Linked DNA regions of Elephas maximus indicus. The protein of the gene in region 1 purifies or fractionates together with the protein of each later gene. This does not show direct contact. Links are inferred from orthologs where the notes say so. Each region holds a gene or a part of one and is shown in the gene's direction. Other genes may lie near its edges.

Region 1 (7,501 bases):
AGTACCGGATACGTCATGGGCATTTAATAAATAATATGTATCCTGGAAGGTGAGATTTGTGTGTGAAATATTAAGCCCACTGGTAAGAAGCTGGTGGTCAACAAATAATTTCCTTTCTTATTGGTTGACTAGACTAATCAATTCAGTTGCCTTATCATCAGATATCACACACGTATCATTTTGGGTGTAGAGGATGTTGCATACTGTTATTCTAAAACACGTAATAAAGGAATAATGACAACATGCAGAACGTTCTCTTTCTGCCCCTCTCAATTCTCTCTCCATTCCTTACCACCTGCTGTTTGTCCCTGGAAGCTGACCTTTATGACTGCTTCAAAAGATTCCCTTATCCTGTGGCATCTGGCTGTACGTGCTCCATGGAAGTCACCACCAGGAAGTCAGAAGGTGGGAGAAGAGTGATGTTCTCTTGGCCAAGTTCTTTACTGAAGGCTTAAGGTTCCTCTGTTGTAAATCAGGCTTTCATTAAAATCTCCCTAATCATTGAGGAGTGTTACCCCCCACCCCCATGCCCTCCCGCCTGCCAAAACTGAATGACTATCTGCTTCCTGGTGGGACTCTAATACAGACGGAATGAGAAAAAGTGGGCAGAACAACACAGCCCTCAGCAACACAAAAACAATAAAGAGCATGGAGTGACTAGAACAGATCATAGGCTAAAATGTGCATGTTCTGTCATCTTTTGTGCCTGTGAATCACCAGCTTCTGAGGTTGGGTCCTTTAGAAGCAGATACTGAGACAAGAGTTTGGCTTTTTAAGATGATTATTAGGGATCAACATCTATGAAAGGAAAGAGAAAGCTGGATTGGGCAGAAGGAGAAGTCAGCCTTCAGTGCAGGCCCAATGAAGCCTCCTCTGCCAACCCAGCAGGAAGCTCTGGGGTGAGAAATGCCCAGCAGGGTGTCCCACATAAGGCTGAAATGGCCCTGCCTTTGAACTTTCTCCTTACTAGATGCAGGCTGTCCTAGGAAGGTGGCTCTTGGCAGCTGACGCAGATCCTGAAATAGCTCTCTGCTGGAGGCTGTCTGCTAACTGCATGCCCTGCAGCTGGGCAGACAGTCGTAATTTACAGAGGGAATGTGGGGGCCATCTCCGTATCTTCCACACCAGTTTGAATCTCTATCTCTCCTGGGCCTCATCTTCTCTTGTTGTGCACCTGTCTACCATGGCAACCGTTCCCAAAGGCTCCGTTGTTCTTGTTCCCCATCCCTAGTAAAAACATCCCAGCTTTATCAGTTCTGCTTATGCCAAAACCCATTGCCATCGGGTCAATTCCAACCCATAGCGACTGTATAGGACAGTAGAACTGCCCCATAGGGTTTCCAAGGAGCACCTGGTGGATTTGAACTGCCAACTTTTTTGTTAACAGCCATAGCTCTTAACCACTACACCACCAGGATTTCCGCTTATCCCAAGTAACTTCTAATTAAATTTCTCTATCCTGTAAATTGTCAGAGTTGCAGGTAGCTGGTTGAAGAAAATACGTTCCCACTTTAGGAAATCTGAAGTGCTAAGAAGACGGTACCATATAGTGCCCAAGACAACATCACCAAGCAGTAGAAGTGCAATATTCATGGTTACGTCTTTGTTTTCATGCAAAAAAAAGCTCTGTGCCATTATCTCTAAGATACTGAACATTGGCTTTGATGATTCATTGTTTAGTTTTGTGCAGTAAGTACTCTTACCTCCTGTATGGTTTGTGAAGACTGCCATAGGTCTTCCAGATCAGTATTCCTGTCTAAGTTGTTTTACCGTGGCACCTTCCTCAGCAGTAGCATTGTATTTGAATATTGACACAACACTTAATCTACAAATGGATCCATAATTAGATAACATCTGGCTAATTAATGCCACTGTTTTTTATAGTGAAAATTGATACTTTGGCTTCTTTAATGCTCTTGTTCTCTTCACCCACCAACCTCTCCACCTGGGTCTGATGGACAGTTAATTAACATTCCACAATCCAAACCAAACCCACCACCATCCACTCATGGCAACCCTACAGAACAGAATAGAACTACCCCCATAGGGTTTCCAAGGCTGTAAATCTTTATGGAAGCAGATTGCCACATCTTTCTCCTGCAGAGTGGTTGTGGGTTTGAACCGGGAACCTTGCAGTTAGCAGCTGAGTGCTAAACCTCTGCACCACCAGGTCTCCCTTAATTAACATTTTGCTACCACATTTTCAGATAGCTTGTTAGGTTATATTTAGATAATGATCTGAACATAAAGTGAGATCATCTGAGTGCATTACCAGGAAAAGTGGGAGCATTTCTAGTGTTAACAAATCTCTCCCGACTAGTACCCTGGCAAGGATTTTTCTCTTGTTTTTGGCTCAGATCTTGTTTGGTTCAAATTTTCAAGTCACTCAATAGACAATTTTAAATTTCGCTGGTCTCTTGTCTTTCTTAATTTAGAACATGATTAAATGAATTAGTTCAGAATTTAGCCACAATGTCTTTAATAAAGGATACAAAACAAGGATAGTTAAAAAAAAAAAAAAAAGGATAGTTACGTTCCATTAATTACTAAATATTTTTTATTTGTATTGAATTTGGTAATGCAAGTTACACAAATAATCCTGTACCATATTTTGAAGCTAAAGAGGTGATCCTTCTTTAAATTCTTTGACAGCATAATTTACACATTTGCAATGGTATTCGGGAAACTAATCTACACTTTTGTGTATATGTATGTGTACAACTATGCTGTGCTCTGACTTCAAGCCAAATGACTATAGACCCAGGCCCTCATCTGCATGGTCTATTGGATACTTTCTAAGGGTGCAAGAATCTTAGACCTGACAGTCAGGATCTTCTTGGAAACAACAAACAAAAATGTTTTTAGAGGCTTAAAAGCCAACATTTGCTCAGGTACTGAGTATGTGTTTGTTTCAGGCACTAGAGGGGAGTGTGGTGCCACACAAGTGCTGTGTTCTAACTGGAGGCCAAGAGCCTGCAGACAGATTTTGTGCATGTTAGATGGCAGTGAGTTTTGTTTTGTTTTGTTTTTTAGCAAGCTCAAACACACTGAAAACGTAGAGCAAAGAAAGGCTTAGAAGAATACCTTCCTGAGTTTGAAATCAGGTAACTGGGTTCTGCCAATCTACTAATACCTTGTTTTACACATAAGCTTCCAATACAGGGCTTTGATTCTTTTGAAGTGGCAGTAACATTCAGATGACTTGATTTTAATAGCTTTATTGTTATTTTAAAATATACATGCTTACTGATTTAAAAAAAAGTCAAACAATATGGAAAAACAGGAAGAAGAAAGTGAATACCATCTGAAGTCACACTACACACTCCTACAGTGTTAGGGAGCATTCTTTTGGACATCTCTCTCTGTCATATATATATATACTTTTTAAAACCTGAATTAATACTGTAGCTGCTGTTTCTGGAACAGTATTGTTGGAGACAGAGTGGACATCTTTCATGGCAGATGACTTGATCCTTGGTGGCAAAGCACAGTGATTAAGGGTATAGGGAGTCACCATGCCTAGGTTTGAATTTTTCTTCCCTTACTCAGTAAGTGACATTGGGCATGTGATTTAACCAATTTCCATGTGCCTCAGTTTCCTCATATGAAAAAATGGGGATGATAATATTGCCTAGCTCAAAGAGTTGGTGTGAGGGTTAAATGAGATCATACACTTAAATATTTAAAATAGCACCTGAAACATACCCATTGCCGTTGAGTTGATTCCGACTCACAGCAACCCTATAGGAGGGTAGAACTGCCCCACAGGGTTTCCAAGGAGGACCTGGTGGATTCAAATTCCCGATCTCTTGGTTAGCAGCCATAGCACTTAACCACTACACTACCAGGGTTTCCGCCTGAAACAAAGTACTTAATACATTTTACCTTTTATTCTTAAGGAAATACAAATTTCACCTTCACAGTAACACTGAAGGGTTTTTTAATATGAAAATTCGGGTGCTTTCTTAAATAACTTTCATCATGGTATTTCAAAAACTGTGCTTTTAACAAGTTATCACTGTTTCTACATATAACTATATACTTTCTCCACTGATGATGGTATTTGCATGCAGCAAATACTCAGTTTATACTTGTTGACTGATCTTCCTTAGACTTCGTTAGGCAGAGATTACCTTTTCGTGGAGGACTGTTTAAGAACTATCCTGTTGTATGCAGTGTGCCTTTAAGTGAGACAGTTTTACTGGGCCACCTTTATAAAGACATTAGTCCAACTAAAAATCCCTGTTAATTATTAAACTGTTATGTGTTATCTGGATACCTGACACTGCAGATTGAGAACAGTGTTTGTCTCTCAAGTTAAGACTAAAAAGAGAGAAAAAAATGTAGTTACCCAAGAATTAAAAAAAAAAAAAAAAACTCAATTTTTTTTCTCTTATATTTAGTGAAGAAAGTAGGGTATCTTCTGTTTTGCCTGGCATATCTACCACCTGAACAATCAGTTTAAAGCTCATTTTGAATTCCTGGTTGTTCATTTTAGCATGGCGAATCTCGGAGTTCACAGAATCCTTCTTTTGGTTATTTCTTTGACAAAGAGTCTGGAGAGTACAAAACTGTTGACAGACCTTAAAAACTGTGGCGACTTGGAATGTGAAAGTAAGTTTGCTTTTTTTCTTTTCCTCTTAAATTGAGGCTCTGAAATGACATCTAGTGTAATTGTGGATGTGTGTGATAAGAATGAGCATTAATATTGAAGAATATTTGCAATTATAAACTACAGCTTGGTATAAAAAGAAAATGCTGGAAGCAAGGCATTTTGTGATAGTATTAAATGTAAATATACAAATGGATAAAGAGTAGTCTGACATATAAATATATCAGCAAATTTATTGGTTTTAGTCTATGTATCAAAAACAAATTAGCCGTTTTACTGTTTTTTTTTTAAGATAAATATAATCAATTGGTATGAATAGGCTATTCATACCAATATAAATATAAAGTCCTTATATTTTTTAGTTTCTATTTCAGAATCAGAATTTTCCTGTTTTCAAAAAATGTTTTTATTTCAAACCATCATGATTTATTCATTCTAAAATTTATCATACAGCAATTGTTTCTGTATTTATTTATTTTGTAAAAATATTGAAATCAGTTGTTATTGTTCGTGCTGTCAAGTCTATTTCAACTCTTAGCAGCTGTATTGGACAGAGTAGAATTGCCGCGTAGGGTTTCCTAGGATGAAATCTTTTTTTTTTTTTTTTTGTACTTTAGATGAAGGTTTACAGAACTAGTTTCTCATAACAGTACACATATTGTTTTATGACATTGGTTAACAACCCCACAACAAGTCAACACTCTCCCTTCTCAACCTTGGGTTCCCTATTACCAGCTTTCCTGTCCCCTCCTGCCTTCTAATCCTTGCCCCTGGGCTAGAATGCCCCTTTAGTCTCGTTTCATTTTATGGGCCTGTCCACTCTTTGGCTGAAGGGTGAACCTCAGGAGTAACTTCGTTACTGAGCTGAAAGGGTGTCGGGGGGCCATACTCTCAGGGTTTCCTCAGGCTCTGTCAGGCTAGAAAGTCTGGCCTTTCTTTTTGAGTTAGAATTTTGTTCTACATTATTCTCCAGCTCTGTCCGGGACTCTCTATCATGATCCCTGTCAGAGCAGTCAGTGGTGGTAGCCGGGCACCATCTAGTTGTACTGGGCTGAGTCTGGTAAAGACTGTGGTATATGTGGTCCATTAGTCCTTTGGACTAATCTTTCCCTCGTATCTTTAGTTTTCATCATTATTCCTTGCTCCCAAAGGGGTGAGATCAGTGGAGTATCCTAGATGGCCACTTGCTAGGGTGAAATCTTTATGGAAGCAGATCTCTAGATCTTTTCTCCCACAGAGCTGGTGGTAGGTTTCAACTGCCAACCTTTCTGTTAGCAGCTGAGCACTTAGCTATTGTGCCACCAGGGACCTTGGAAATTGGTGTTAGGAATATATATTTTTATTTTATTTATTTACTTTTATTGTACTTTAGATAAAGGTTTACAGAGCAAATTAGTTTCTCATTAAACATTAATACACATATTGTTTTGTGACATTGGTTGTCAGCCCCATGACGTGTCGACAACTCCCCTTCTTGACCTTGGGTTCCCCATTACCAGATTTCCTGGACCCTCCTGCCTTCTCCTCCTTATGCCTGGGTTGATATGCCCATTTAGTCTCAATTTGTTTTATGGGCCTGTCTAATCTTTGGCTGAAGGGTGAACCTCAGGAGTGACTTCAGTACTGAGTTAAGAGAGTGTCTGGGAGCCATACTCTAGGGGTTTCTCCAGTCTGTTAGAACAGTAAGTCAAGTCTTTTTTTGTGAGCTAGAATTTTGTTCTGCATTTTTCTCTTCATCTCCCAGCTCTGTCTGGGACCCGCTGTTGTGATCCCTGTCAGAGCAGTTGGTGGTGGTAGCCGGGCACCATCTAGTTGTGCTGGACTCAGTCTGATGGAGGCTGTGGTAGTTGTGGTCCATTAGTCCTTTGAACTAATCTTTCCCTCGTGTCTTTGGTTGTCTTCATTCTTCCTTGATCCAGATAGGGTGGCACCAGTGGAGTATCTTAGATGGCTGCTCATAAGCTTTTAAGACCCCAGACACTACTCACCAAAGTAGGATGTAGAACATTTTCTTTATAAACTATGTTATGCCAGTTGAGTTAGATGTACCCTGAGACCAGGGCCCCCAGCCCTCAGTCCAGTAATTCGGTCTCTCAGGGAAGAATATGTATTTTTAGTAGCTTTATGACATAAAATAAATTACATCCTAGTATATTAGAGTTGCTTTAAATAAGTTATATCTCTCCAATATAAAAGAATTATTTCTAATGTGCAACATGTAATTTTAAAAATGTGACATATTATTAGTATAAATATAAATACCTTATAAGGAAAAATTTTAAGAGTAAGATTGTCCTTAACCCTTTTGATATGATTTAACATAAAAAGTTTACTAGGCAATGTTTTATAATAATTATCTTTCTTTTCTTCTTTATAGTACAACCTCATTTTAGTATCCTTAGAGCTAGACACAGAACTTGAAAAAGGAACATTCAGATTTATAATCATTTATAATGTTTTTATTTTAATTGTGTGACTTTATAAAAAATGTTTTACATATAATTATAATGGTTAATAAGATATGTGTATTACTTTGCATGTTGAAGGGCTAACTAAATCTAGTATATTTGGTAACGATTCTTTCATAGTTAGTGAGGTTCTAATATGTGCTGGAATTGAGGTTGGGTGGTATGCATCTAAAATGAATCAAATGCAAAGTGAAGTAAACCTTTTGCCCTCCAGGAGTTTTCATTCTAATGGATGGTGACAAGACAGGTCAATATGAAACAGTTAAATAGTGATACAATGTAGTAAGAATAGTAGGTAATATTGAAGTTCAGAGAAGGGGCAATCAGAATAGGCTAGAATGATTAGGGATGTGTCATAGAGGAAATAGATTTGAGTGGTCCGTGAAGAGTGATGGAAGGGTTTCTGGGCTTAGGAAAGAGC
Region 2 (8,104 bases), on another chromosome or scaffold:
CTTACTCTAAGAGGGAGTTGTTTGAACACAACAAGGGGATGCTGCTTGGTTTAGAGTCAGGAAAGGTGTGCGTCAGGGTTATAGCCTTTCACCATACTTATTCAATCTGTATGCTGGGCAAATAATCTGAGAAGCTGGACTATATAAAGAAGAAAGAGGCATCAGGATTGGAGGAAGACTCATTAACAACCTGCGTTATGCAGATGACACAACCTTGCTTGATGAAAGTGAAGGGCACTTGAAGTACTTAGTGAAGATCAAAGACCACAGCCTTCATTATGGATTACACCTTAACATAAAGAAAACAAAAATCTTCACAACTGGGCCAATAAGCTACATCATGATAAGCAGAGAAAAGACTGAAGTTGTCAAGGATTTCATTTTACTTGGATCCACAATCAACAGCCATGGAAGCAACGGTTAAGAAATCAAACGATGCATTGCACTGGGCAAATCTGCTGCAAAGGACCTCATTAAAGTTTTGAAAAGCAAAGATGTCATCTTGAGGACTAAGGCGCTCCTGACCCAAGCCATGGTATTTTCAATCACATTATACGCATGTGAAAGCTGGACAATGAATAAGAAAGACTGAAGAAGGATTGATGCCTTTGAATTGTGGTGTTGGCGAAGAATACTGAATATGTCATGGACTGCCAGAAGAAAGAACAAATCTGTCTTGGAAGAAGTACAACCAGAATGCTCCTTACAAGCAACGATGGGGAGAATGCGTCTTACATACTTTGGACATGTTGTCAGGAGGAATCAGTCCCTGGAGAGGGACATCATCATTGGCAAAGTACAGGGTCAGCAGAAAAGGGGAAGACCCTCAACAAGGTGGACTGACACAGTCGCTGCAACAATGAGCTGAAGCATAACAATGATTGTGAGGATGGTGCAGGACCAGGCAGTATTTTGTTCTGTTGTGCATAGGGTCACTATGAGTCAGAACCCACCGGATGGCACCTAACAACAACAACAACAAGGTGCTAAAAAGCAAAGATTTCACTTTAAGGACTAAGCTGTGCCTGACCCAAGCCATGGTGTTTCCGGTCACCTCATATGCATATGACAGCTGGGCAATGAATAAGACTGAAGAAGAATTGATACCTTTAAATTACGGTGCTGGTGAAGAATATTGAACATACCACGGGCTACCAGAAGAACAAACAAGTATGTCTTAGAAGAAGTATAGACAGAATGTAACTTAGAAGCAAGAATGGCGAGACTTCGTCTCACATATTTTTGACCTGTTATCAGGAGGGACCAGTCCCTGTAGGAGGACATCATGCTTGATAAAGTAGAGGGTCAGCGAAAAAGACGAAGACCTTCAATGAGATGGATTGACACGGTGGCTGCAGCAATGGGCTCAAACATAGCAAAGACTTTGAGGATGGCGCAGGACCGGGTAGTGTTTACTTCTGTTGGACATAGGGTTGCTGTGCGTCAGAACTGCCTCAACAGCACCTAACAGGTGTATGACTCCATTTATATAAAATCCTAGAAATTGCAAAACATTATCTATAGTGATGGGAGATTGCTTGGAGACAGGAGAGGGTAGAGAGAGATTACAAAGAAGCATAAGGCCTGTTTTGGGAGTGATGGATATATTCAGTATCTTGATTGTGGTGATGGTCTCACAGATATACACATGGGTGTATGTCAAAACTTATCTAATTGTATGTTTAAATCTGTACAGTTAATTATATGTCAATTATAGCTCAATAAAGCTACTAAATCAAAGAGTGCACAGGATTGGCTGATGGGTTGGACTTGGATGATAGAGAAAGATAGGAATCAAGGATGGCTTTTAAGTTTTTGACTTGAGCACAAAAGATGGGAGTTGCCATTTACCAAGGTAGAGAAGACTGAAAAGAGGAGGTTTGAGAGGGAATAAAGAATTTTATTTTCAACATACTAAGTTGGAGGTGCCTATTAGACACACTTAAGATTCTAAAACAAATAAACACATACTCATAACCTGTGCTGTCCAGTTGATTCCCTTTTATAGCAACCCTACAAGACAGAGTAGAACTGCCCCATAGGGTTTCCAAGGAGTGGCTGGTGGATTTGAACTGCTGACTTTTGATTAGCAGCCAAATGCTTAACCACTGTGCCACCAGGGTTCCAATAAACACATAGTAGAAAAGAAATGAAGAAATCCTAATGGCATTACTACTTGAATGGAGAGTCCCTCTTCATGAACTTATCCATTGTACATTCTCACCAGACAGCATGTGAACTTTGCTGGACCAATGGAATATTTCGTGGCCTCTGCAGACAAATATCTGTGGGCATCTCTTCCCCATCTCTTCTTTTGTTAAATATTATGGATTTCAAGGACAAGCCATACTTCTTTCCTTTTGTTTTTGCTCTGCTTTTTTTTTTTTAATGAATTCATTTAGTGTGGGAAGCCAAGTGATGGTTTTGGCTGGTGAATAACCGTGGCTGTAGTGAGAAGCCACCGTCCATAGACAGATGCCAGCCGTTCCATTCATGGCCAGAGCATCATAGCCCTTTGCTCTGCGGCTGACTTGACGGTTGTGTCCTCTTTATTTTTTTTAATTGCACATGTAGCTACCTCAGTTATATTATGACTTAAATGGTATCCCTGGGCGATGCAAATGGTTAAGCACTTGAGCACTAGCCAAAAGGTTGGTGGTTTGAATCCACCGTGAGGCACCAAAAAAGTCCTGGCAATCTGCTTCTGACAGGTCACAGCCTTGAAAATCCTATGGAGTAGTTCTACTCTGCACACATGGGGCCGCCACAAGTTGGAATTGACTTGACAGCAACCAACAACAACAAAAACATGATTTAGACAAGCTTTTGCTTCCCTAGTCAGAAAGTACAAATAGGTTTTTCCCCTGTTGTGATTAAAAGGGGGCAGGGAGCATTTACCTGCGCTTGAATCTTGGCTACATCACTCACTAAGTGTGTAATGCCTCAAGTTACTCATCTCTAAAATAGGGATAGCAACAGAACCCACCACTGTGCGGCACTATTGTGTGAGGGGAGTCCCTGGGTGGTGCAAATGATTAGTGCTCTTGGCTGCTAGCTGAAAGGTTGGAGATTTTTTAGAAGTTTTTACTGGGTTAGAGGTGACCAGAAGAAAGTCCTAGCAATCTACTTCTAAAAAATCAGCCATTGAAAACCCTGTGGAGCACAGCTCTACTCTGAAATACACGGGATCACGATGAGTTGGAGTTGACTCCATGTCAACTGGTTTTATTGTGTGAGGACTGATCTGATACATATGAAGATCTTAGACTAGGATCTGGGCATAAAGAAAGCACTCAGTAAAAGTTGTTAGATGTCATTGAGTCCACGCCCAGCCACATGCACAATGGGATCTGACTGCCATCTGGCCCGGACCTCCCGGACCTCACAGCCCAGCAAAGACAGGTGTTTCTTTCATTGACTCAATTTTGGACGTAGGCTCCCAGGCCTTTCTTCCTAGTCCTTAATCTGAAAGCTGTGCTGAGACTTGTTCAGCATCATGGCAACACCCAAGCCCCCACTGACAGAGGAGCGGTGGCTGTGCTTGAGGTGCCCTGGATGGCAACTGAAATGGGGTCTTCTGCATGGAAGGTGGGAACCCTGCCGCTGAACTACCACTGCTCTGCAATGGATGTTCTTGCTGCTGCCATGGAGTGATCCCCTCAAGGTGACCCCATGTGCACAGTAGAATTGCACCCCATAGGGAAGCCTTACTTCCGAGGAGTCTCTGGGGAGGGGGGGTTTGAAGGGCCACTCTTCTCGTTAGTAGCTCAGAGTTCAACCATTTGCATGCCTAATCGCCTGTCCCTACTCTGACATAGATTATTTCATCGTTTTTATGTTGGTTGATTTCTACTAAGTTGTGGGCTTCTTTAGAGGAGAGCGGAAACCCTGGTGGTTCCGTGGTTAGGAGATAAGGCTGCTAACCAAATCGTTGGCAGTTTGAATTCACCAGGCGTTCCTGGGAACCCTATGGGGCAGTTCTACTCTGTCCTACAGGGTCGCTATGAGTCAGAATCTACTTGAGGGCCACAGGTTTGGTGTTTGGTTTTTAGAGGAGAGCCAGAATGTCTTATTTATCTTTTCACCTCTTCCTTTCCCCACCTCCCATCACCCTAGTGCTTTGTCCAGTATCTGGCATAAGATGGAAGCTCAGCAAATTCGTGTTGAATTAAATTACTACTTTCCTTAAGAATAAAGACCCAAGAATTTCAAGATCTCAGCTAGGGGAGGGAGGATGGAGGGGAAGGTAGGGTACTGACCACCTCCACCCCCAAGGCCCAAATAAAGACCAAGGAAGCCCCTGGCTCTAATTTACACCCCCAATCAGACTAGGGCATCTGGGGCGGGGGGAGGGGAGTCCCAAGAAACCGGGAGGAGCCGGAAGCCGGGGGTTGACAGTGGCAAACCTTGGGTGGGACTTGGTAGTTCGGAAAAGGAGGTACAAAACCAAGAGGGGGTGTGGGGGTAAGCTGGTTTGGGACGGACCACGAATCAAAAGCTGCGAGAGGGTCCCAGAAAGGACCTGTAGTTGGGACGGCGCGGGGACGGGGTGTGCAAGCGCGCAGAGGGGGGTGCGCTGCGAAAGGAATCGCGCGGAGGGTCGCGCGGGGAGGGACCCGGCCAAGGCAGGCGACTGGGCGAGGGAGAGGCTAGAGAGTCCCGGTTGCCAAGGCAGCGACACCAGGAGGCGGCCTCGGGGGGACGGACAGAGCTCCCGATGCTCCTCCTTCAGGTCCCCCTCACCCTCCCCGAGAGACCCTGCTGACGTGTCAGCCGGGAGCCCTTTCCACGGCGACAGCCCGCCCGTCCCGGCCCCGCCCCCGGACCGTCCCTCCCCGCCCCCTGCCGCCCGCGCCCCGCCCCTCGGCCCCGCCTCCCGTTGCCGCCCCGGCCGCCCGGCCTCGCCTCCCGTATCGGTCCCCGGCCCCGCCCCGCCCGGCCCCGCCCCGCCCGGCCCCGCCCCGCCCGGCCCCGCCCCGCCCGGCCCCGCCCCGGCCCCGCCCCCTACCCCGCCCCCGCCCCGCCCCGCCCCCGCCCCCCGCCCCGCCCGGGCCTCCTCGGCGTCACCGGCTCCCGAGTTGACCACAACATGGCTGCGGCGCCGGGGCTGCTCTTTTGGCTGCTCCTGCTCGGGCCGCCCTGGTGGCTGCCGGCTCAGCCAAACCTGAGCCCGGGCCGGCGCTTCTCGGAGCACAAGCTGTGCGCGGATGAGGAATGCAGCAGTGAGTGCGCCCCCGGGCGGGCGGGTGCGGCCCCGGGGTCTCCGCGGTGGCGCTGGCCGGGGGGCTCGGCGGCCGTGCGGGCTGGGGGCTGGGGGCGCGGACCCTGCGGACTGGGGGCTGGGAGCTGGGGGCTGGGGGCTGGGGGCCGGGGGCGCGGGCCCTGCGGACTGGGGGCCGGGGGTGCGGGCCATGCGGACTGGGGGCTGGGGGCTGGGGGCTGGGGGCCGGGGGTACGGGCCCTGCGGACTGGGGGCCGGGGGTGCGGGCCATGCGGACTGGGGGCTGGTGGCTGGGGGCTGGGGGCCGGGGGTACGGGCCCTGCGGACTGGGGGCCGGGGGCTCGGCGGCCGTGCGGGCTGGGGGCCGGGGGCCGGGGGCGCGGGCCCTGCGGACTGGAGGCCGGGGTGCGGGCCATGCGGACTGGGGGCTGGTGGCTGGGGGCCGGGGGTACGGGCCCTGCGGACTGGGGACCGGGGGCTCGGCGGCCGTGCGGGCTGGGGGCCGGGGGCGCGGGCCCTGCGGGCTGGGGGCCGGGGGCCGGGGGTGCGGGCCCTGCGGACTGGGGACCGGGGGTGCGGGCCGTGCGGACTGGGGGCTGGGGGCGCGGGCCGTGCGGACCCAGCGCGGGAGTGGGCGAGCCGCGGGTCCCTGAGCTGCTCCCTTCCACCTCTGCCGGCGCCGGGCAGGCGGTCCTGACTGTGGGGGGCTGCACCACCCACTTGTTGCCGGCATTTTCTCTTTCCTTTGCTGACCGAGGCGGGGATCGGCGTGGCCCCCGGCCGCCCCCTACCCTGCCCTGCACGGGTAGGAGAGGAGATGGGGCTGCGCCCTGCGGGCCCTGGGCTTCCCACGCTGCAACCGAGAGGTTTCGTGCCCCCGCCGCGGGGACCTCGGTCGGTGCAGTGGCGGGGGCAGATGCGCCAAGGGCTGGTGGGCGCCTTTCTAGTGGCAGATTGACGGTGAGGATCGGAAGAGGCGCACTGGCGCTGTCCCTGCGCCCTCAGCTTTACTGGCATTTTGGGCTCCTACTGCCTTTTGAACAGCGATTGGAGTTTAGGTTTGGGACCGGCCTGGAGTCCACGCACGCAGTGTATTCCAAGGTCTCCGCCCCGACTCTGCCTCAATCCTGTCATTTCTGCGCATGGAAGCCTCCCTGCAAACTGTCAGGGCAGCAGGAAGGCCAACATCTCCATCTCGAAAGGGGCGGAGGATCAGCATCAGCCACCTGAGATAGGCAGCCGCCTCTCCAGTGCGCAGGAAGCGAAACTGTCCCCCAGTCCTGGATTGTGGGCAGTGTGGAGGGCAGAGATCTTCAGACTCAGATGAAGAGGGTTGTTAAATTAATAGCAATAAATACTCCAAGGATCTTATAAGCCAAATCACCCTTGGCTTTAGACACTTGTGTTGTTGGAATCCCTTCCTACGTGTTTGGTGGACTGGGACTTACTGACAATCGCTGCAGAAATGGTAGTTCATAAATTGTAAGCAATACATATAGAAAAATATTCATTCTGAAAAGGCCAAGAGGCCTACAGTTTGCTACTTATATTCAAATTGGTGTTATTTGCAAACAAATTTCACGAGTGGAAGAGTTATATCACTACAGCACCATTCAAGAAGACAAAAAAAAAAAAAAAAAAAGCCACTGCTGTCAAGTCGATTCAGACTCATAGCGATCCTATAGGACAGAATAAAACTGCCCCATAGAGTTTCCAAGGAGCCCTGGAGGATGTGAACTGCCGACCTCTTCGTTAGCATCTGTAGCACTTAACCACTACACCACCAGGGTTTCCAGTCAAGAAGATGCGATTGCTAATTTGTGTTAAGCCCTCCTTGGAGGTTACCTTAGGGCTGGTGTAAACAAGCACCCTAAAGGCAGCAAAACTTCCACTAGTACTTCTTCCTTCAGTTTTCTCAGCACAAAACCAGGCTATTCGCAAGCAGGGTTGAGTATGGCAAAATGTTTGCTATCCTTTGCTTTCCAGCACTCTCCTACCTGGGTCCCTCGATGTAAGTTACCTGCAGATTCATATCATTGCTGAGGCCTCAGGATAAAGAAATGGTGTTGGAAGGGCCCACAGTTGTACAGTAACTTGAGAAATGATGTGTGTACAAACAGATGTGACCCAACACAACCGGCACCAGCAAGAGCAGGGCCTGGGTCTGTGCGGTGTTGTATGAAATAGTCAGCGAGGTGTTGGTGCAAGGTGTGTTTGTGTGCTTTTCACATAGCGGAAGCACTCGTGCATTATGTGGTCATTGGACATAGTGTTATAAATCCTCCACGATCTATTCTTAGGGTGACAAGAGTAACACTGCCGTTTCCAGTTCTGCTGGACCCCCCATCACCTTCAGCCTGGTCTCTCATCCTATTAGATCTGAGTTAGGATGCTGACATGTATTAAGAGTCACATTTTAGCTTTAGAAAGGAAACAGCCTCTGAATCTATATTGTTGTTCCTCGAATACATTTTTATGTATTTTATTGCTAATTGACTTTTAGAAAAAACATCTCCATTGCATCCTTTTTTTTTTTTCGCTACATAAACGCACTTACTGTTCATTTCATTTTACATGTGCATTACAAACTGTGTATTTGGCCCCCCCCCCCCAAATACTGCTTCTACCAGTTTCAAATTGAGTGTGGTTTGAGTCCTGCATTTGAAGCTGAAGGTAACTGACCTAATCCCACAGTTTTGCTTGGTCCCTACCACAGGTGATGTCCACTTTTGATTGTGTTTATAGAAAAATAGAAACAAGAGTATTTCTTCCTTTGTTTGTTTTGAAATCGTCTTAATGTTGAATACAGTCAACATTATTTACCTTCAGCGACTATCGCCTTGTTACGTGATTGGATCCATAAGATGGTACGGTATCCCTTCC
Region 3 (8,028 bases), on another chromosome or scaffold:
GCCCCTCAGCTCCCAAGAGCCAGCTCTGATCCTCCGTCCCCACACATCCCTCCTCGATGGCTGACTGCAAAGAAGTGAGAGGCCACGCTTAGACCCAAGCGCCCGCCTGAGTACCCAGAGAGCCTGGTGCTGCAGGGCAAGGTGTCCCTTTGGTCTTCCACCAACACCTGCCCCAGGCTGGAGCCACACTCTGCACATAGAGAAAGGGCCTGATTTCTCACTCACTTCTGGCTTTGAGATTCCAGTCCTGCCTTTGCTGGGTCTCTAATCCCTGGTCTTGTCACCCAGGTCCTTTCTGGACTCAAGGCAATGTTGCCTCAAAACAAGGACCAGGTGCTGCTACAGAACGCAGTGTCCCCTGGGCACCCTTCTCAGGGCCTCTCACAACTTGCGGACTCTGCTCTCCCCAACCGACAGCCTCTCCCTCCCCATCAATCACTTCCTCCCTCCCATCCACGTCTTCCCTCTTCCCCCCAATCCCAGCTACCCTTCTCTCCTCCCCCACAGTTCTGCTCTCTGGACTCACACTTCTCTTCTGACTCACATTCTGACTCTGTCCCACATCTGAACTCTTCCTCTCTCCCAACTTCCCCCACTTTCTTTCACCAGAATTATCCCTCTCTCTCCCTTCCAGGGTCCTCCTCCCCATCTAACCTGCTTTCCTCCTCTCCCTCTCAGCCACAGAACTCCTCTCTCCCCAACTTGCCTTGCTACTCTCCATCCCATCCCAAAGGCCCACCTAGCTCCACGCTTACTTCCCCCAGCCCCAGCCTACCTTCTGGGGTCCACTCTTCCAGGCAGACATGGCACTTGCATCAGTACAGGGACTCCAGGTCCCCTGGAGTGGTGGGGGGATGCGTGGCAAGCGAGAGGGACCCTGCGGAGTTCAGGGACCCAGGAGCCCTGGCCCAGGCCCTGGTCGTCCATCTGGGGCACCGCCGCATCGCACACGACCTGCGTCTACTGCTTTTGCAGCGCCTGTGGCTAGGCAGAGCCGGCCAGGCCCCAGTAGTGGAATATCCCATATGCTTGGTGTGTCTCCGTCCACGCAGTCCCTCCTGCCCCATCCCCAGGTACAGGACTGGGCCCCGGCTGCTGGCCTTCCCCCAACTGCTGCCCTGTGCACAGGGCCAGGAGTCTGGGCCGCTTCGCATAGGCATCGGCTTCGGCCTCCGCCTACCTCGGGGCCAGGCCAGGGCCTTGCATCTGTTGCCAGAAAGAAGGCCGGAGGAAGTAGGACCTCAGAGCGAGACTGCTCAGGCCCCTGGGTGTCAAGCCCAGGCATCTCGGGCACCAGCATCTCAAACCCCAGTGGCTCAGGCCCAGGCAGATCCAGCCCCAGGCACATCCTCCCAGACCGGGAGCCTCAGGTCGCCAGGCCCTCAATCACGAAACTCTGCCCCCAGCTCAGGGCCTCTCCTCCAGGCACCAAGACAGGCCACTGCCTCTCCGAGGCCCAAGCCTTCCTCTGCCCCAAAGAGGTCTGTCTCTTCAGAGCCTATCCCCCTAAAGTCGCCATCCTAGTTCCAGAGCCACGGAGGGTCCCCGGAGCACCTCCTTCAAACACCACCCTCCCCACCAGGCCCCAAATCTCTGGGAGTCCCCGAGACACCCTGAAGGGCTGGCTGGCTGGAGGACAGGTGTGTTCTCCAGCTCTGAACCCTGGGAGCCCCTTGTGGAATCTGCTGTCCCCTGGCTGAAGAGGACCAAGGGCACTGGAAGCCCCCTCCAACCTTCAGCATATCCAATAAAGCCTGACCCTGCACAACTTATGTTTGTGTCCTACTAAGAATGGATGGCTGTACCTACAGGAGCTCTACTCTCCAAACAGGTCCTCTTAGGGGTAGTCAAAGGAAAAAGAAAGCCCATATCATGGACCTGAGGAGAGCAAGAGCCCCACAAGGGCTGAGTGCCTGAGATAAGCTTATGCTCTACCAGGGCCTTCATACGTTAATTCATCTCCATGGGACTGATACTGGCATTCACAGAGCTGCAGCCACTGGGCCGATTCCTTTGGGTGCACCTTAGGTGCCAGCTGAGGCGACCAGTCCTGAGAGCAGAGACTGTGTTCTTGCAATCCTTGAGTCTTCTCACAGGGGAATACACTGGTCCTCAGACAGGAGACTAGAAACCCAAGTGGGTGGGTGGGGTGTCAGGCAGAGAAAAGGCCTACTCGGAGCCACGCTACCTCCCCAGCCTCTCGCCCTAAGAGAAGCCAGGGTGTCAGAAGGTAGGTAGCCTCCACCCCCAAACCTGCTCAGGAGTGGGAGTGCTCAAGAATGGGAAAGAAGCCCAGAAAAAGGGAATGGAAGACTCCTGCCTCTGCCACCCACAGAGGATGGGTGTTGTCTTATCCAGTGCTACTATAACATATCACAAGTGGATGGCCTTAACAAAGAGAAATTTATTCTCTCACAGTGTAGTAGGCTAAAGTCCAAATTTAGGGCGCCAGCTCCAGGGGAAATCTTTCTCTCGCTGTCAGCTCTGGAGAGAGGTCCTTGTCCTCAATCTTCCCCTGGTCTAGGAGATTTTCAGGTGCAGGGACCCCGCGTCCAAAGAACGCACTCTGCTCCCAGTGCTGCTTTCTTGGTGGTATGAGGTCCTCATGTCTCTGCTCACTTCTCTTATGTCAAGAGATTGTCTTAAAACACAACCTAATCTTGGAGATTGAGTCCTGCTTCATTAACGTAACTGCTGCTAATCCCATCTCATTAACATCATAGAGACAGGATGCATAGGAAAATCACATCAGATGACAGAATGGTGGACAATCACACAATCAATCATGGCCTAGCCAAGTTGATACACATATTTTGGGGGGACACAATTCAATCCATTACAGGTGTTAAGATAGATAGTGTCTTCCTCATACTAGGAAGCAGTGGATTCGGGGTTTGAAGGTCATTTTCTCTGGTTTTGGAGGAGCCCTGGTGGCATAACGGTTAAAGCACTTGGCTGCTAACCAAAAGGTCGGTGGTTGGAACCCACCAGCCGCTCCACGGGATAAAGATGTGGCAGTCTGTTTCCATAAAGATTATAGCCTTGCCCTGAGAGTATGGCCCCCAGTCACCCTTTTAACTCAGTACTGAAGTCACTCCTGAAGTTCACCCTTCAGGCAAAAATTAGACAGATCTATAGGGCCAACAGAAACCCTAGTGCGGTTGAGTGCTACGGCTGCTAACCAAAGGATCGGCAGTTCGAAACCACCAGGTGTTCCCTGGAAACTCTATGGGGCAGTTCCACTCTGTCCTATAGAGTTGCTATGAGCTGGAATCGACTTGACGGCACTGGGTTTTTGGGTTATAGGGCCAACAATAACACACGTGAGAAATGTGCTTTACAGTTCAATCATGTATATGAGACTAATGGGCACACCAACCCAAAAGCAAAGACAGGAAAGAAGGCAGGAAGGGACAGGAAAACTGGATGAATGGGAACAGGACCTGGGGTAGAGAAGGGGAGAGTGCTGACACATCTCAGAATTGGTAACCAATGTCACAAAACAATTTCTGTATTAACTTATATAATGAGAAACTGATTTGCTCTGTAAACTTTCACCTAAATCACAATTTAAAAAAAAAGATTGTTGTTGTTGTTAGGTGCCGTCAAATTGGTTCTGAATCACAGCGACCCTATGTACAACAGAATGGAACACTGCACGGTCCTGTGCCATACTCACAATCTTTGCTATGCTTGAGCCCATTGTTGCAGCCACTGTGTCAATCCATCATCTCCTTAATGGCCTTCCTCTTTTTTGCTGATTCTCTACCAAGCATGATGTCCTTCTCCAGGGACTGATCCCTCCTGACAACATGTCCAAAGTATGTAAGACCCAGTCTCACCATCCTTGCTTTCAAGGAGCATTCTGGTTGTACTTCTTCCAGGACACATTTGTTCGTTCTTTTGGCCACGATTCAAAAGCATCAATTCTTCTTCGGTCTTCCTTATTCATCCACCAGCTTTTGCATGCATGTGAAAAAAAAAAAAAAAAACACCATGGCTTGGGTCAGGCACACCTTAGTCCTCAAGGTGACATCTTTGCATGTTGTTGTTGTTAGGTGCCGTCGAGTCGGTTCTGACTCATAGCGACCCTATGCACAATAGAACGAAACACTGCCCGGTCCTGAGCCATCCTTGCAACCCTTGTGATGCTTGAGCTCATTGTTGCAGCCTCTGTGTCAACCCACCCTCTGTGTCAACCCACCTTGTTGAGAGTCTTCCTCTTTTCCGCTGACCCTGTACTCTGCCAAGCATGATGCAAAAATCTTTGCATAGATGTCACTACAAAAGATTACGGTCTTAGAAACCCTATATGGCAGTCCTACTCTGTACTGTAGGGTCACTATGAGTTGGAATCGGCAGCGGGTCTGGTTTTTGGTTTTTTTGGCTTGTCTGGTTTTAAACCAAAGTCCATGCTGCCTTCATTAAGAGGAGAGAGCCACAGGTCATGTTTCTGGTATGTGACCTCGGACAAATCACTTTCTCTCTAGGTTAAAAAGTGCGCTTGTATGAGTCATTTCATCCTTGAAGTATAAAAAGCTTTAATCCAAGGATTTCTTTTTTGAAAGTTTACTAGCCTTTATTAGGAGTCCAAATGTTTAAGCACCTCTGAAGAAAGGCCTGGCGATCTGCTTCCGAAAGGTCACAGCCATGAAAGTCATATGGAGCACAGTTCTATGGATCGCCATAAGCCAGAACCAACTCCACTGGCAACTAGTCATCTTTATTAACCCCACCTCTTCTTTTCCGTAATCACCAAGGGCGTTCCCTTCAAGGAAGCAGCACCTCCCATGCCCCGCACAAAGATGGCGGAGCGCGGGGTCGCAGGGGGCGGGACCGGCGCCCGCGTTGCGTCACCCGGCCGAGTAGTGCTGACGCGTATTGTCGGGTCTGCACTTGCGCGGAGACAGCGGCTGGAGCGGAGCGCTGTCGCCCTGCGCGGCTGGAGCCGGGGTTCGGCGGCCGGGAGGGAAACGGGCCCTGCGTGTGGTTAGAGTATCGGCAGCCCTGCGGATGTGAGAGGAGCCGGGGGTCCTCCAGGCGGCAGCCGGCCCAAGCTCATCGCCGGGCGAGGCATGTCCCAGGAGCTGCGGTGTGAGCAGTGAAGAGCGCCGGGCGGGATGGGCCGGCGCCGGGCGCCAGAGCTGTACCGGGCCCCGTTCCCGCTGTACGCGCTTCAGGTGGACTCCAGCGCCGGGCTGCTCATCGCGGCGGGTGGAGGAGGCGCCGCGAAGACAGGCATAAAGAATGGCGTGGTGAGACCGCAGGGCCACTGGGGCCGGGCTACACCACGGCTAAGGGCGATTCCGGGGTGGCCGCGGGTCACGGGAACGCGCCGTATCTCAGCTTCTGGCCCTGCCCCACCTCCGTGGGGATCCCCGGGAAGCCGGGCTCCCCCGCGCGAGTTTCAGTCCAGCCCGTTGAGAGACTCCTAAGGTTAAGTGAAAACTGCGCGCACCGCTGCGTAGGCGCGACCTACGACCTCAGGAGCAGCCCCGGGGTCTTATCGTGTCCTTTTCCCGGGAGGCCACATAGACAAGTCCATCTGCCTACTAGCAGCGACGAGAACGGCGCATTTGGTCGTAGGCCAGGTTCCTTCACTTTGAGTCTCACTCCGGAGGTAATATCCCCAGTCCTGGCAGCTGTACAGGTTTCTGAGGCCCAAATGAGGACTTAAGAAAGCTTTGTGAACTAGGAAGTGCAGTAAGCAGAGGAGTAAGGCATCAGACTAGAAAGATGTCAGTTTGCCCTTAGGTGTAGTCCGAGTACCCCTGAACCTTGCTCATCCTGGCTTCCTCTCTCTCAGCACTTTCTGCAGCTAGAGCGGATTAATGGGCGCCTGAGTGCCTCTTTGCTACACTCCCATGACACAGAGACACGGGCCACCATGAACTTGGCACTGGCTGGTGACATCCTTGCTGCAGGGCAGGATGCCCACTGTCAGCTCCTGCGCTTCCAGACCCGTCAGCAGAAGAGAAACAACAAGGCAGAGAAGGCAGGTGAGGAGTGCCTCTCTAGCTCTTTGGAAAGAGATGAGGAAGATCACTCTCCTCTTGGTCTCTCTAAAGAAGTGGGGCTGTGGTGGCAAAGAGTGGAAGCCTGCCATGTGGAGAAAGGCTAGTACTGCTGTAGAGGCCTGGGACCTGGCAGGCTGTTTGTATTGCAGGTTCTAAGGACCAAGGACCTCGACAAAGGAAGGGGGTGGCCCCAGCAGAGCAGAAAACTGGAGCGGAAACCCACTGTGAGGGGGTAGAGCTCAGTGTTGAGAATTTGCAGGCGGTGCAGACAGACTTCAGCAGTGATCCACTGCAGAAAGTTGTATGCTTCAACCATGATAACACCTTGCTTGCCACTGGAGGGACGGATGGCTACGTTCGTGTCTGGCAGGTGTGGTTTGGGGGCAGGGGGGACGGTTAGGGCAGGTGAGTCAGTAGCAGCAAGGCCAAAATTGTGAGAAACTGCACGTGGGTTTTGAGAAACGTGTGAGTGCAGCCTGCGTTGAGTGGCCATTAAAAGAGAAAAGAGTGTTCTTGCCGGGTGCCTGGGCTAACCATAGCGGGGGTTTGGCTGCAGGTACCCAGCCTGAAGAAAGTTCTGGAGTTCAGAGCCCACGAAGGGGAGATTGAGGACCTGGCTTTGGGGCCTGATGGCAAGGTGAGGAGGTGGGGAGGTGGAGAAAGTAGGTGGTTATGCTGCTTGCTCAGTAAGTGGATCCCCTAACTGCCCATCCTTGGCATCTTTATTCCTGACTAGTTGGTAACTGTGGGCTGGGACCTTAAGGCCTCCGTGTGGCAGAAGGATCAGCTGGTGACACAGCTGCACTGGCAAGAGAATGGACCCACCTTTTCTAACATGCCTTACCGCTACCAGGCCTGCAGGTGTGAAGACCCCGGAGGGTGGCTAAAAGAGGCACAGCCCAGATGTGGGGGGGGGAGTGGGGAAGACTCAGGGAAAGCTGGGGAGGATTGTGCCCTTGCTAGGTGTCAGCCGAGGCCTGGCCAGAGCGCAGGAGGGCGTAAAGCTCTGCGGGCAGCTGGGCTGGCCCCAGGAGCTGAGCAGCCTCTCTCCTGGACACAGGTTTGGGCAGGTTCCAGACCAGCCTGCGAGGCTGCGACTCTTCACAGTGCAGATTCCCCACAAGCGCCAGCGCCAGCCCCCACCCTGCTACCTCACAGCCTGGGATGGTTCCACCTTCTTGCCCCTTCGGACCAAGTCCTGTGGCCACGAAGTCATCTCTTGCCTCGGCATCAGGTGTGAGGCAGTGCTGGCTTGGCTGGGTGTGGGGGTGCCTGGGGAGCTTGGGAAGGAGTCCTGCCTGAACCCCTGAGGACTACTGTTGGGAACAAGGCTCTCTGCAGAGGCCTCCAGGACAGTGAGCACTTTATTATTTGTTGCAGTGAATCGGGCACCTTCTTAGGCCTGGGCACGGTCACTGGCTCTGTTGCCATCTACATAGCTTTCTCTCTCCAGGTAATGGGTGAAGGTGGGCACAGCCCTGAGGGCTCTTTAGGGTGGGGACACTTGGCCTCCCTCTATCTAGAGTGTGCAGAAAGGAGTCTGGCCCACCCTGTAGCGGGAAAGCCTTCTGGGGGCTGGGGCATGTTTTCCAGCAGAAAGCCACCCAACTGAGCCTTCCTCATTATTTCTCCTCCTGCCCCTAGCGCCTCTACTATGTGAGGGAAGCCCATGGCATTGTGGTGACAGATGTGGCCTTTCTACCTGAGAAGGGTCGTGGTCCAGAGCTCCTTGGGTCTCACGAAACTGCCCTATTTTCTGTGGCTGTGGATAGCCGATGCCAGCTGCACCTGCTGCCCTCACGACGTGAGTCATTGTACCACCCCACCTTTAGCTGTAGCAGAAACTCATCCCCTGGAGAACTATAGCCGGCTGCTCCTTCAGTGGAGTAGGTTGAGGGTCCTGTTGTTCAGCCTGTGAAGGCCCTTTGCCTGTTGACATCTTCCCTTACCCCTTCTGCAGGGAGTGTTCCGGTGTGGCTGCTGCTGCTGCTATGTGTTGGCCTTATTATTG

Evidence for each region.
Region 2: the proteins of MIA2 (region 1) and MIA3 purify together in Homo sapiens (affinity purification with western blotting; 6 studies listed by BioGRID and IntAct, counting the BioPlex papers as one, with this or other methods). This does not show direct contact. The link is inferred for Elephas maximus indicus from reciprocal best matches to the Homo sapiens genes MIA2 and MIA3.
Region 3: the proteins of MIA2 (region 1) and PREB purify together in Homo sapiens (affinity purification with western blotting; 3 studies listed by BioGRID and IntAct, with this or other methods). This does not show direct contact. The link is inferred for Elephas maximus indicus from reciprocal best matches to the Homo sapiens genes MIA2 and PREB.

Annotation. Positions count from the first base shown.
Region 1 is NC_064828.1:51,518,884-51,526,384, forward strand, and holds the start of MIA2 (melanoma inhibitory activity protein 2), read left to right. Parts: upstream 1-4,461; 5' UTR 4,462-4,499; coding exon 4,500-4,614; intron 4,615-7,501. UniProt on the Homo sapiens protein: Plays a role in the transport of cargos that are too large to fit into COPII-coated vesicles and require specific mechanisms to be incorporated into membrane-bound carriers and exported from the endoplasmic reticulum.
Region 2 is NC_064842.1:12,274,108-12,282,211, forward strand, and holds the start of MIA3 (transport and Golgi organization protein 1 homolog), read left to right. Parts: upstream 1-5,054; 5' UTR 5,055-5,089; coding exon 5,090-5,222; intron 5,223-8,104.
Region 3 is NC_064830.1:45,497,910-45,505,937, reverse strand, and holds the start of PREB (prolactin regulatory element-binding protein), read left to right. Parts: upstream 1-4,897; 5' UTR 4,898-5,120; coding exon 5,121-5,255; intron 5,256-5,806; coding exon 5,807-5,999; intron 6,000-6,166; coding exon 6,167-6,387; intron 6,388-6,573; coding exon 6,574-6,654; intron 6,655-6,753; coding exon 6,754-6,878; intron 6,879-7,077; coding exon 7,078-7,251; intron 7,252-7,397; coding exon 7,398-7,470; intron 7,471-7,661; coding exon 7,662-7,821; intron 7,822-7,977; coding exon 7,978-8,028. Other genes in the region: PRR30 (proline-rich protein 30), read left to right, coding at 310-1,524.